Linked DNA regions of Arabidopsis thaliana. The protein of the gene in region 1 purifies or fractionates together with the protein of each later gene. This does not show direct contact. Each region holds a gene or a part of one and is shown on either strand. Other genes may lie near its edges.

What was found.
Region 2: the proteins of AT3G02760 (region 1) and ALATS fractionate together in Arabidopsis thaliana (co-fractionation; one large-scale study listed by BioGRID). This does not show direct contact.

What each region holds. Positions count from the first base shown.
Region 1 is NC_003074.8:596,596-602,477, reverse strand, and holds AT3G02760 (Class II aaRS and biotin synthetases superfamily protein), read left to right. Parts: upstream 1-1,694; 5' UTR 1,695-1,827; coding exon 1,828-3,177; intron 3,178-3,251; coding exon 3,252-3,431; intron 3,432-3,521; coding exon 3,522-3,779; intron 3,780-3,862; coding exon 3,863-4,276; intron 4,277-4,355; coding exon 4,356-4,496; intron 4,497-4,581; coding exon 4,582-4,890; 3' UTR 4,891-5,373; downstream 5,374-5,882. Other genes in the region: AT3G02770 (Ribonuclease E inhibitor RraA/Dimethylmenaquinone methyltransferase), read left to right, coding at 594-777, 1,145-1,461.
Region 2 is NC_003070.9:18,592,461-18,600,167, forward strand, and holds the start of ALATS (Alanyl-tRNA synthetase), read right to left. Parts: upstream 6,020-7,707; 5' UTR 5,852-6,019; coding exon 5,557-5,851; intron 5,292-5,556; coding exon 5,053-5,291; intron 4,748-5,052; coding exon 4,607-4,747; intron 4,255-4,606; coding exon 4,108-4,254; intron 3,901-4,107; coding exon 3,748-3,900; intron 3,358-3,747; coding exon 3,228-3,357; intron 2,977-3,227; coding exon 2,880-2,976; intron 2,722-2,879; coding exon 2,601-2,721; intron 2,286-2,600; coding exon 2,226-2,285; intron 2,128-2,225; coding exon 2,077-2,127; intron 2,008-2,076; coding exon 1,912-2,007; intron 1,787-1,911; coding exon 1,685-1,786; intron 1,539-1,684; coding exon 1,416-1,538; intron 1,044-1,415; coding exon 900-1,043; intron 813-899; coding exon 741-812; intron 651-740; coding exon 575-650; intron 494-574; coding exon 351-493; intron 267-350; coding exon 158-266; intron 71-157; coding exon 1-70.

The DNA.
Region 1 (5,882 bases):
CCAAGCACCTCAGGCAATAATAAAGTTTTCGTTTTTATCTTAATTAATGAATGAATGTCACAAAGTTTGTGAGATGTACAAAAAGCGTCGAGGAAAAGGATAACAAGGAAACAGAGTCGAAACCAGAGAAAAGGCAACGCAAAGATTCCTTTTTTCGAAGCTTAACGACAACCCACCTTCCATCTGATTTAAGTAAAGTTAAAAGTCACTAATTTAATATTATTGAACGACCGAAACAAGTATGTTGATGACTTTGTTCTCCTTTAAATTATCATCACTTCATTTCTCAGAGATTTACGCACACAGAGTTCTCTTCTTCGTCCTAGTTTCTTCTATTCCAGGTAAATGAAATAAGATTCGATCAAAACCCAGATGGATTTTGAAATAGTTTTCTTGTGAATTGAATGAAAAGTGTGTATCTTTCCTTCTGGGTTTTGATTGATTGACTGAGAATATATATGATCACTTTATCTAGACTAATCTCGATTTGTCTTTTGCTTTCTGTGTTTGAGTAATTTCTCGTAAATCTCATATAATCAAATCCCCAGATTACTTGTTTTGATCATAATTCTTGATTCAGGTGAGAAGAAAAAATGGCGTTTGTGACCACTGCGGAAGTGTGTGACGCGAATCAAGAGATGATTCGAAGTGGCCAGCTCCGAGCTCTGCAACCCGTTTTTCAGATTTATGGTCGTCGTCAAATATTTTCAGGTCCAGTAGTTACTGTTAAAGTCTTTGAAGACAATGGCTTAATCCGTCACTTCCTCGAAGAGAAAGGTATTAATGATTCTTGCTTATAAAATTCAAAAGACTGAAACTTTACTCGTAGAGCTATGAACTTTCAGAGTATCTTTGACATGGTTTATTGGTATTGTTACATTTTAGATTCAATTCTTGTGTTACTTACTTGTCAAATAGTTTCAATTGTTCTTTGCTTGAAACTATGTTTGAAGAAGTCTTAAGATCATCTCTCTATGATTTAGAACTACTGCTCAGTGTTTATATACTTCTTCAGTCACTTTGCTAATCAAGTTCTTGAATACTAGAGACGAGATAGGTCTTTCAAAAACCCGAGTCAATAAACCAATCTGTTCTCTGTAGCATTCACATCAAAAGCTCAATAATGTTTTAAATGTTAAAACAGGCAATGGTAGAGTTCTTGTGGTGGATGGTGGAGGGAGTTTACGCTGTGCGATACTAGGAGGAAACCCGGTCGTACAAGCGCAGAACAACGGATGGGCAGGGATCATAGTGAATGGATGCATCAGAGACGTTGATGAGATCAATGGTTGCGACATTGGAGTGAGAGCTTTAGCTTCTCATCCAATAAAGGCTAGTAAGAAAGGACTTGGTGAACAAAGAGTCTCTTTGAACATTGCAGGCACTCGGATATGCGATGGCGAATGGCTTTATGCAGATACTGATGGTATCCTTGTTTCTCAGATTGAATTATCCGTTTAAAAGGACACAAGTGATGTTGTTGATTTGTTAAAATCTGTAAGCTACTACTTTTGTGCTTTGTGTTTCTGTAATGGCTATCAGAGTAAAAGTTGGCTTCTTTGAATATGATTATTGAACTATTGAATCCGTTTCGAGTTGATAAAAAAAAACATTTCGTAAAGTGAAAATTGCAAAAAGATCCTTGAAGTATCCATACAAGCATTTTTCGTAGATCAATTTCCAATAACTGGATACTTCGAGGGTCATTTTGCAGTTTACCAATTTTCTAAATCCGCCTTCTTGCAATTTCACAGTGCTTCGTTTTAGGTCAAACACAACGAAAGACAGAAAACCCTAATCACTCCGGCTTCAGCTCTGTGTGTGATAATGGCGGCGGAGAGATCGTCCATCACTCTCGGAGGGAAAGGTTCTTCTTTATCTTCTTCCTCCGTTTACAATGTTGCTTCCGGCGTCGCTAATGTTCGAATTGACTCTTCTGCGATCGAGAGATTCTCCACTAGAAACGTTCCATCGATCAAAAGGAGCTCCTTTGGTATCCCTCAAGGGTTAACGAACGAAGAAACTCGAGCTTCTCTGGCTGTTCTCTTAAACAAGCTTATTTTGTCGACTTCTGGTCCTCCTTCTTCATCCACCGCTCGTTCTGTTCTTCCGCTTAAGATTGTTGAGATTCTGAATTTGAAGGCTGAGAGTTTGGAATTGGGTGAGATTGATGTGACAGAAGGGGAAAACATTGTGTTGGAGAAGTCGTGTGCTTCGTTGATTGGGATTTGTTCTATTATAGATCACAAATCGACGACTCTTTCACAGATTGTGGATTCTGTTGCTGCGTTGAGTTGTGAGGTTACAAAGGCTGATATAGCTTCGTTTAGCTTGTTGGATTCAGGAGATGGGAATGGTGATAAAGATGTGATTGGTGTTGCTGGTGATCTCAAGGTTTTGCTTAACGGGTATAAAGGTACAGGGAAATTAGAAATAGAAGAGATTTCGAAAATCCCTTGGATTCATGGGAAATTCAGGTATGTGGTGAAAAGCGTGCACGCGGATGCTAGGAGAGAATTGAATTCCGGTGTTAAAGGAGGCAAAACTGGGTCTGGAAACACTGGGATTGGTGAGGCTTTAGGAACAACATTGTTACCTTTGTTAACGGCGATTAAAAACTTGGGAGTGTGTTCGTTCCTTCGTGCTAAGCTTTGTTTTGAGAAGATTGTGGATGAGAATCTGAAGAAATGTTTATCTGAAAAGATCTGTGTTGAGAATGAGAATCTAAAGAATAGCTATAAGTTAGCTTATACTGCTCATTTGGAAGAGGATTACTGCAGGTTTGCTCACAAACTGAATGAGTGTCTGGGAATTGTATGGAGAATTGTTGGTTTGGAGGCAGTTGCTGCCTTTTTTGCTCTTGCTGGTGGAGAATTGTTTGTTCAGAAGAGCGGAGATGCGGACAAAGAAGAGTCGAAGACCGATAAGAAAAAGAAGAAGAATGAGAAAAAAGCAGTTGTGGGAAAGGGGACAAGCCTAGTTATCCAGTTTATCAAAGATAGATTGGTGAGTAATGACGCAGCAAGTGATGGTGACCAGATGCATTCATTGATGCAATGTGGGGAGCAAATCTTAAATCTTTTCAACCCAGAGGGTCGCAGTTTTGATAGCTTGTTGGATAAAGTGAAAGAGATTGTAGAAAGTAATGAAAATAGGAGACTTCCCAAGCTTCCAAAGGTAAATTACAATCTCGTATATGGAGAAGGTTTAGGCCTCAGAGTTAATTTCTGATTTGTTTCATTCTATGACAGGGAACTCGAGATTTCGCTAAAGAACAAATGGCAGTCCGAGAAAAAGCCTTTTCAATCATACAAAACGTTTTCAAGAGGCATGGTGCAACTGCACTTGATACTCCTGTTTTTGAATTGAGAGAGACCCTTATGGGAAAGTACGGAGAAGACTCGAAATTGGTTTATGATATTGCTGATCAGGTAGAACTCTTCTTGGCTGCTGTAATATCATCAGTTTATGTGATGATTTGTTTGTCAAAATTTGAGCTCATATGGATCTATTAATTGCAGGGTGGAGAGCTTTGCTCTTTACGATATGATCTAACTGTTCCATTTGCACGGTATGTGGCTATGAATGGAATCACATCATTCAAAAGATACCAAATAGCAAAGGTGTACAGAAGGGATAATCCATCTAAAGGGAGATACAGAGAGTTTTATCAGTGTGATTTTGATATCGCTGGTTTGTTCGAACCAATGGGACCCGATTTTGAAATTGTCAAGATATTAACTGAACTCCTCGATGAGTTAGAAATAGGAGATTATGAGGTAATAACTTAAGTTGAAAGTCTTAATCTTTCCTGGTTGGTTTTTTCTTTGGCTATGTTCTTAATTCTGGTTTGTTTAAATAGGTGAAACTGAATCACCGCAAGTTGCTTGATGGAATGCTGGAGATATGTGGAGTACCACCTGAGAAATTCAGAACCATCTGTTCGAGTATCGACAAGCTAGACAAGCAATCGTTTGAGCAAGTGAAGAAAGAAATGGTGGAGGAGAAGGGCTTGTCTTCAGAGATTGCAGACAGAATTGGCAACTTCGTTAAGGAGAAGGGAGCTCCTTTGGAGCTGTTGTCTAAACTGAGACAAGAAGGGAGTGAGTTCTTAGATAACCAGTCATCAAGAGAAGCTCTTGATGAGTTGAGTATCATGTTTGAAGCTCTTAAAAGATCAAAGTGCAGTGAGAGAATAGTCTTTGATCTAAGTCTAGCTAGAGGTCTTGATTACTACACCGGCGTCATCTTTGAAGCTGTTTGTATAGGAGCAGAGGTAAAATCCCGCATTTTGGCTTCCTGCAATTCAATTAAAGAAATTGTAGTGTATGGCCTTTGAATTCTTCTTTCTGCAGGTGGGATCAATTGGTGCTGGTGGGCGATATGATAACCTTATAGGAATGTTTGGAACAAAGCAAGTCCCTGCGGTTGGGATGAGCCTGGGAATCGAGAGAGTGTTTAACATAATGGAAGAACTTAACGAGAAACAGAAACAAGTAACTTGCCAAACCCTTATGCTGTTTGTCGACCTTGTTTTAAAAGAATGGTTTTTGAAGTTTGTGTTATTTGCTATGAATATAGGTGATTCGACCAACGGAGACACAGGTGTTGGTTAGTATAATGGTGGATAATAAACTAGCGGAAGCAGCAGAACTGGTAAGTCAGTTATGGGGTGCTAAGATCAACGCAGAGTATCTAGTGAGCAAGAGGAAAGAAAAGCATTTCAATCGTGCAAAGGAATCAGGGATTCCTTGGATGGTGATGGTAGGCGAAAAAGAACTCAGTGGAAGTTTTGTGACATTGAAGAAGCTCGAGAAGGGAAGTGAAGAGAAAGAAGATCAAACATGTACTAGAGATCGTTTCGTGGAAGAATTGAAGAAACTACTCTGAGTCGTTGAAAAGAAATGAAAGGTACACACACTCACTCCTGGTTCGATGCCCAGACAAAAGGAATCACAGTGTTTTGCATTCTTTTTTGCTGTTTTCCTTGGTTTGTTTGATAATGGTGTTTTGCATGACTCATGATTGTGGAGACAAGAACTTAGAGATTTTGATGTTGATGAAGTTTTCCGTATTTAACTAATTAGAGGAGATATACGTAAATGTTAAGCCAATTATCAGAATTACGTTTCTTTCAAAAAAATCCTTATCCCTGATAACCTAATCTGCGATCTTATCAGAAAAAAGAAAGAAAAAATAAGTAGGAAATGAGGTGGAAGAATATAAGACCGAAAAGAGAAAATAAAACACAACAGGTAAGGTTGTCTCCAAAAATAAAAAAAGTGATCTGCAGATCTGTGTGATCGCATTTGCATGAGATGAGAGGAAGAAAGATGGTACGTGTTGGTTTCTGTACCTCTCTGCCGACATGTGGTGGCTTCAAGTAACTAAGGTCACTTGTGTATTCACATCTCACGTTTCCATTGACTATTGTCTCTACTCATTTTCGATTCAACTACTGAAAATATTTGGTAAGAAACAAACAGGCGATTTACCATCCCCTACTGATCATTTATATAAAAAAACAATGAGTTCTTTGGTTCCTTAAATAAGAAGAATTCACGGTGGTTATTCTTTTATATACAATAGTTTACTAAGCGATACAATAATTAAATCTGATAAAGAGTCTCACCCTCATGGGATGATTGACTGATTGTGAGACCCTAAATATGATTTTGATCTAAAAATAAATGATCTGTTTTATTGAATTTTCACAATTTTAATAATTCTTCATATTATATATTGATGATATTCTAGTGGATGTCGGAAAATTATGTGTAAGAAACGTCTTATCCAAGCCCATGTTAATTCTGCCAGCCTGAAACAAAAAAAATATAAATATTTTCATACATTAATACGTAAAAAATAATAAAATAATGATT
Region 2 (7,707 bases), on another chromosome or scaffold:
CCTTTAGCAATTCCCTCCTCCGATAGAAGAGCAAATGCTTTGGCTTCGCGGGTGTTTGTTATGTGGGTTCCTGGAATTGTCAAAATAACCCTATACTCAACATTCTATTCAGAACGTAATATCTTGGTCCCAATAGCTAATGCCAATGGAAACAGACCTCCACAAAACTCGGAAGAAAGCAATGACCATTCATTGTTTTCAGGATCAGCCAAGAGATCCTCAACCTTCCTCCCAATTGACACCACTCTGACGGGATCGGGGTAGACCTAAAAAGAGTAAGAGAGAACGCTTTAACAATTCTTAGAAACCAAACTAAAAAGGTATAGCTACAGAACTGATGGACAGCTTACTTCTCCAAACACTGCTCTTAGACCTTTGATGCGCTTGGCTTCAGAAAGCACAGCTTCCTTGGAAAACACATCTAATTCATCCTTGATCTGTTTATTCACTATGGATTCGATCCTTCTCAAATCTTCAGGATCAACCGGCTTGCCTACTCGAAATTATGGAACCCATCAGACAATTAAGATGACCATCCACATCAAAATAAAAATGACTTTATTCAAAAATGTACCATGAGAAAAATCAAATCGCAGTTTTTCAGGAAGAACAATTGATCCCTTCTGATCAATATGATCCCCGAGCACTTCCTGAATTCATGGGACATGAATATTTTCAGATCCAATAGAAAAAATTAGAAAATCACAGTTTAGGTTACTTAAATTATAGAAAAGGGATACCTTCAGGGCATAATTCAACATATGTGTGCAAGTATGATTAGGAGCGATGAGTTTACGCCTCTCATAGTCAACCTATACGCATGAAAACGAAGGTGGAAACAAATTGGATAGTACCAAATATGGTGAATGAGACAAACACTGTTTGATGCAGAGAGTTACCTTGCAAATCACTTTATCACCCACAGATACCTCTCCAGTTTCTTTAGAGAGATAACCAATGTGAAGAACAAAGCCCCCAAATATTTGTACATTGCATACATTGAATGTCCCAAACGAGCCTTCTATAAGTCCAGTGTCAAAAATCTATTGCCAGAGAAAAAATGTTAGAGGCACAGAGTTTATATACATATAGATGATTGGAAGTGAATCAAAAGCTTAACCTTGTTCATGGATATGAAATCTAAAAATATTTATGTGACTGTCAACGACAACTTCAGAAATTAGTATGCAAAACCAACAATAACTATATCATGGTATTTGCCAGCCGATACATAAATTCAAACAATGCAGTTCTGATATGATTGTGTTCATGGTGTTACTGCCATGTCTACATTTGTATATATATACAAATCCAAGATGAACATACTGAAGACTGCAATTTCATGCCACCAGTCATATGATCAGAAATGAAAAACAATTAGCAAACTAAAATACATATCAAATAAAATGGATTACCTGACCACCCTGCTCAGCATAGAAGCTTGTAGACCCCAATACTAGTCCCACGTTATCACTAGCAGCTGAACTTTCTAGGAAAGTAGAGCCAGTATAGATTGCCTTTAGTTCACTCTCGTGGTCCTGCAGCGATATGTGGCAGAGTACCAATAAAGGTTTCTTTAAAGCAAAATCCATTTACTATTATATGCCCTAACTTCTTCATTTCTACGCCAACATAAGAACATTTCAGGTGCAACATGCAAGTTTTCTGGAATAAAAGGACAAACCTGGAACCAAATGTATTTAAAAGAATCATCTGTTGCTGAAACACCAGCCTTGTGCAATGTTGATGTAGCATCAGCATCCATAACAATGGCACCACCAGCTTGCTATAAAAAAATGACATTAAAAGATTGGTTAATAGATGATGTGATTGCAAACTTCGTTCATAGTCACACGTAAGTTTGGCATTAAACGCTCTTTAAGAAAGTAAACAAGAGGAAAGTTGAAACACCTTATTCTGGGCACTTCTCGATCTTTCCCTCGCCTCTTCCATGGCTTTGTTGAAACCATCAACATCAACCAGTAACCCTCTTTCTTCAGCCATCAACTGAACCCCGAGAATAAAAGTTAGAAAATAACACGAACATTCAGAAATAAGTATAAATGACTTACGTACCTGAGTTAAATCTAACGGGAAACCATATGTATCCCATAAGATAAAAGCATCCTGCAAAGAGAAGACAACATGTTGAGATAGAATTCAAACATCCCAGATGAAAATACTGCAACGCCTAACATACATCACAAAAATGATTCGATACGTACATCTCCACTCAGTGTATTCCCCTGAACCGCCTGTCCAGCTTTCCGAAATTTCTCAATTCCCTGCCGTGAAAATTTATAATCAGTCTAACTGTTCTTATACTCACCACCTATTCACATAAAAAAGGGAGGAACGACCAGGTAAAGCCAATTCATCTTTCAGAAAAAAGATTCCCTATAGAAAATACTATAATTATGTCTAACCATCATTAAAACTGAACAATGATGAAATTGGAAACAATCTATACAGAAATATCACATGCCACTGATTGAAGCTGTGAACTGTCTCTTTTACTTCAGTGCGACGAGCCAGAAGAACCCAAAACAAAATAAGATAAGAGGTTCAAAGCTTTGACGGAAATTAAATCCAGCCCTTACCTTTGCCAAGGTCTTGCAAAAGCTTGCTTCCTCTTCTTTAATTATATCTGTGATCTTTTTCTCATGTTCCTTCAACTCTGTAAAGACATCGCCCATCACCCGAATGACAGAACTTACAAGCCTACAGGTAATATGAAAGCCCGAGATAAAACATGTGTCAAAAAAATATGCTCATTTATAAAGATACAAGACAGAAATAAACGTTCCAGCTACAACGAAACAATATTTGAAACAATATTCAAACAAAACATGCAACGAAAATCAAACATAATTTCCTACCCGTTGAAAAATCCTTCTTCAGCTTTTAGGATCTCCTTTCCATAGCGAACCGCTCGACGAAGAATACGCCGCAGAACATACTCACGGCCCTCATTACCTGCAAGAGATAGTATATTAATTGGTACTTGTTAGACTACAAGAAATAACAAACCTCTATTTGTATAACATAACAGATTGTCTGAGGAAGAAAATTGACAAACTCATCATGCCCAACTTAGAATAAATGAACCAAAAACACTTTTTCTGAGAACATATAAGTATGAACTCAAATAAATGATTGAATACTAAGACGATTGTATTTTCTGTAACCACCACAATTGTGATTGAGACAAGAAACCAAGTATATACCAGGACGAGAGCCATCCGCAATTGCAAATGATAGGGTTCTAATATGATCAGCAACCACTCTATATGCCATGTCAACTCTGTCAACATCTTCCGGACCAACTTTTCCAGAATATGGCCTAGCTCCCGTTGCCTAAAAAAGTGAAAGCATCAACACCTAAACTTAAGATTCGCAACAACTAGGGTAAACAGAGCAATTTGAAGATTTTTTCAATCCTCTCACTAAGAAAAATACATGAAAAGTGACACAGCTAACAACGAATAATCTCCAGGATACCCATAGTAGAATGCCTTTATCATGAAATCCAAATTCAATAAACCAGAAATATTCAAAAACAATTGACGGAGTCTCGACGTAAAGCATAGAACCCATGATCCACTTCAAAATTGATGAACTAAAATGATGATAGTACTAATTAAGGTGACAAATGCGTCCCTAAGAGGAGGCCAAACAAAAATAACTCAATGAAACCATCATTAAACAGCTGTCATGAAACCATCAACAGAAGTTTTCACAAATTACCTTTTGGATGTCATCAAAGATAGGCATGAACACATCTGTATCATAGTTGCTCATTTTGTTTTGAAGAACAGAAGTCAACCTCTCGAAGCCCATCCCGGTATCAACATGCTTAGCAGGCAGAGGTTTTAGCGAGCCATCACTTTCTCGGTTGAACTATTTTGAAGACATAAGTAACATCCCAGTCAGAGGAAACAATTGGGAATATGATAGCACAGCTAAAGGAGCAATAACAATCTAGCTAACTGCACAATATAGAGTTTTCAGTAACACAATCTACAAAATCATTAAAACAATTGTGATATTGAGATAAAGATTAGTAAAATGGAACTAAATAACAATTGGGACAGAGAGGGTTTGTACCTGAATAAAGACAAGATTCCATATTTCTAAACATGTTGGATCGTCATTGTTAACTAAGGATGCAGCATCACGGTTACCAATGCGATCATAATGTATTTCAGTACAAGGTCCACACGGACCTGTGTCGCCCATTTCCCAGAAATTGTCCTGCAGTTTAATCAAAAGTTAAATGAAAGAAAAACAGCATTTAAAAACCCTTAAGTTTTACATTTTGTACAAGATTTTGACTGTAAATCATAAACAATGGTTTTTAAAGCCTGCCAACTACCAAACATGATAGCGTATTCCTAGCCAAAATGCATTCAAGCTTACAGTTGGTTGTCGTTAGCATTGACAAACAGATGTGTCAATATATACAAGAAACAATGGTGACAATACAAAGGCAACTTAGCTGAAGTACTTGTGAAGTAACCTCAGGAGAGAGGAAATCAATGAGTAGTGGATTCAAAAAAATTAGGTAACAGATTAAAAGTTATTATCTTAAATAATCAATACATACTTTGCAACCAAATGGCAGCACACGTCCAGATGGAAGAACCTTCAACCATATATCCCTAGCCTCATTATCAGGTTGAAGGCCAGCTTTCTCATCACCGCCAAAATATGTAGCGTAGATTCGATCAGTCGGTAGCCCATAGACCTGAGGCATGAAAACAGGGAGGTATCAACCTCAATGAAATAAACAACCTCAACGAAAAGAGAATAGTAACTTTACAAAATTATGAAATACTGTCACAAGGTATCTAACTGAAATGTACAACCAAATGAAAAGAGAAGAATCACTTTACAAAACTGAAATGTACAACCAAATGAAAAGAGAAGAATCACTTAACAAAATTGAGACATACCGTCCCAAGGGAGGGAGACAATAGTTTACTGAATAATACCATGTATATTTTTCTTAAATCAAGTAAACAGAGACAAATTTCCCAGGTATTTAATTACCTTGGTTAAGAGCTCCCAAGCCCATTCGATAGCTTCCTTCTTGAAATAATCTCCAAAGGACCAGTTACCAAGCATTTCAAAGAAGGTGTGATGGTACGTATCTTTGCCGACATCATCCAAATCATTATGCTTTCCACCAGCACGAATACACTTTTGGGTGTTACATGCCCGAGATAGCTTGCTAAGCTCAGTATTTGGATCGGCCGTACCCAAAAATATTGGCTTATACTGGTTCATTCCTTGAAAAACAGAGAAGTTTCAATGTCATTAATAATTCTATTTTTCGCCAGACATATCAAGAGAACTTAATTTACATAGCTCAGTATCAATATCAGAAAATTTCGACCAAAACTGAAATTGAGAAATTTGAATAAGTCCCAAAGCTTCAAAGACAAAAGAAGACAGAATAAGTCAACTCTATAGAATCTGAATTCCATAGATCAACTTGGACAAATTCCCAATCTTATCGGCAAAAACAGATATGAGGAATCGAAGTTATCGTACCAGCGTTAGCGAAGAGAAGAGTAGGATCATTATGAGGAACAACGGGGCTTGATGGCCAGAACTTGTGGCCTTTGCCTCTGAAGAAATCGACATAAGTATCCCGGACTCTCTTTGCTGGCCACTGAGTCTCCGATGGTTCGGAACCCGGCATGACTGCGACGGAGGAAGACGTCGACGAAGAGGAAGAAAAACGGAAGTGAGAGAAAAAAGGGCGGCGGAGATGGGAAGAGTAAAAAACCCTAGACGGAGGTTTGGTTGAAGAAATCAGAAGAGAAGCTGCCTTCACTAATCTCATTCAAACCAATAAAAGACCTTCTCTCTCTCCTCCTATCCTATTTTCTACCGTTAAAATTTATTTAATCCGATTCCTTTTCCGCAAGATATATTATTTTAAGGGATAATACTTAAAAAATAAAAAAAGTAAAATTTGGAAAATACATTTTGTTCATCAAAGGATAACATTAAAAAAAAAACGAGAGTAAATTTTGGTTCTCGTTTAGATAAACTGTTGGGTTTGCTGCCACTAGCCGTGAGACTGCCTCGCATGTTATTGTTTGTTTCGTTGTTGTTGTTGCTGTTGTCGTTGCCGCAAGTTTTGAATTTGTTTTGCTGCTACTGTTGCAAATTTTTGTATTCGTTTCTCAGATAATACTATAGTTTTACACGTAATTTTTTTTTTTCCAATCAACCAAATGTAATTCTAATATATTTTTGTTACTTGAATTTTTTTCATATTTGAGTTTTTCTCTTTTTATTATGTGGATTGATATGATCTATATATAAAAATTATTCTTATTCTTGTTAAATATTAATCTAAATACTATTTTTATAGTATAAAAAATGAATGATATTATTTTGATGTAAACTACCTAAAATTTTATAACAATAATGAGTTTTTACGCTATTGATCAAATTGGGTTGGATGGATTTCTGTTACATATTGGTTACAGTTATTAAAAGGGAAAAATGTTATTTAATACCTCAACTTTCAAATTATGACAGTTTTATACGTTAACTTTATATATGGTCATTTTAAACATGAAGTTATCGTTGATCACCATTTAAACCATGAATATTTTATTGACCAGGCCAAAAAAATTAGTCGTTAACGGATTATTCAACTCCCGTTAACACCTCCATTAACCATTCTAAACGACGTCGTTTTCGTTTTTCTTTAAAAAGAAATGACAGACCTGGGATTCGAACCCCTATCATTTGAGAAAAATCAAAGGTCATTTGACCACTCTACCTGCAAAGATTTCTCTGTCATTCTATACAAACACAGATACTTATATACGCTTAAAGTTCTTCTTCTTCATCTTTAACGAAACAAAACATTTCCATAGTAAAGCTTCCATTGAAGAACACCTCCGATTTTGAACACTTCGATTTCTCCATGGACTTCTACCATTTAATACAAGCCTCATCAAGCACCCCTATTCATTGAAGAACACCTCCAAACCTTTTTTTCCCGCCAAAAAAAAAAAAATCCCGCCAAAAATAAATTTCCCGCCAAAATTTTTTCTCGTAAATTTTGTTTCCCAGCAAAAAAAATGCTTTTAAAAATCCTTGTAAATTTTTTAAAAACTCTTTTAAAAAACCTTGTAAAGTTTTTTAAAATCTTTGGTAATTGCTAAAAACCCTTGTAAATCATTTTAAAACCTCTTAAAATCTTTATAAAGTCTTTAAAAACATAGGTAAATACTTTAAAACCCCTTTTTAAACCTTTGTAAATCATTTTAAAACTTTTTACAATAGTTTTACAAGATTTACAATCGTTTTTTAAGCATAAGTAAGTGGCATTGAATGATTTACAAGGGATTTTGAAAACTTATAAAAGGGTAAAACATGATTTACAATCGTTTTAAAGCATAAGTAAGTGGCATAAAATGATTTACAAGGGATTTAAAAAAGGTTAGCATGGTTTACAATCGTTTTTTAAGCATAAGTAAGTGGCATTGAATGATTTACAAGGGATTTTAAAAGCTTATAAAAGGGTAAAACATGATTTACAATCGTTTTTAAAGCATAAGTAAGTGGCATTGAATGATTTACAAGGGATTTTAAAAGCTTATAAAAGGGTAAAACATGATTTACAATCGTTTTTAAAGCATAAGTAAGTGGCATTGAATGATTTACAAGGGATTTTAA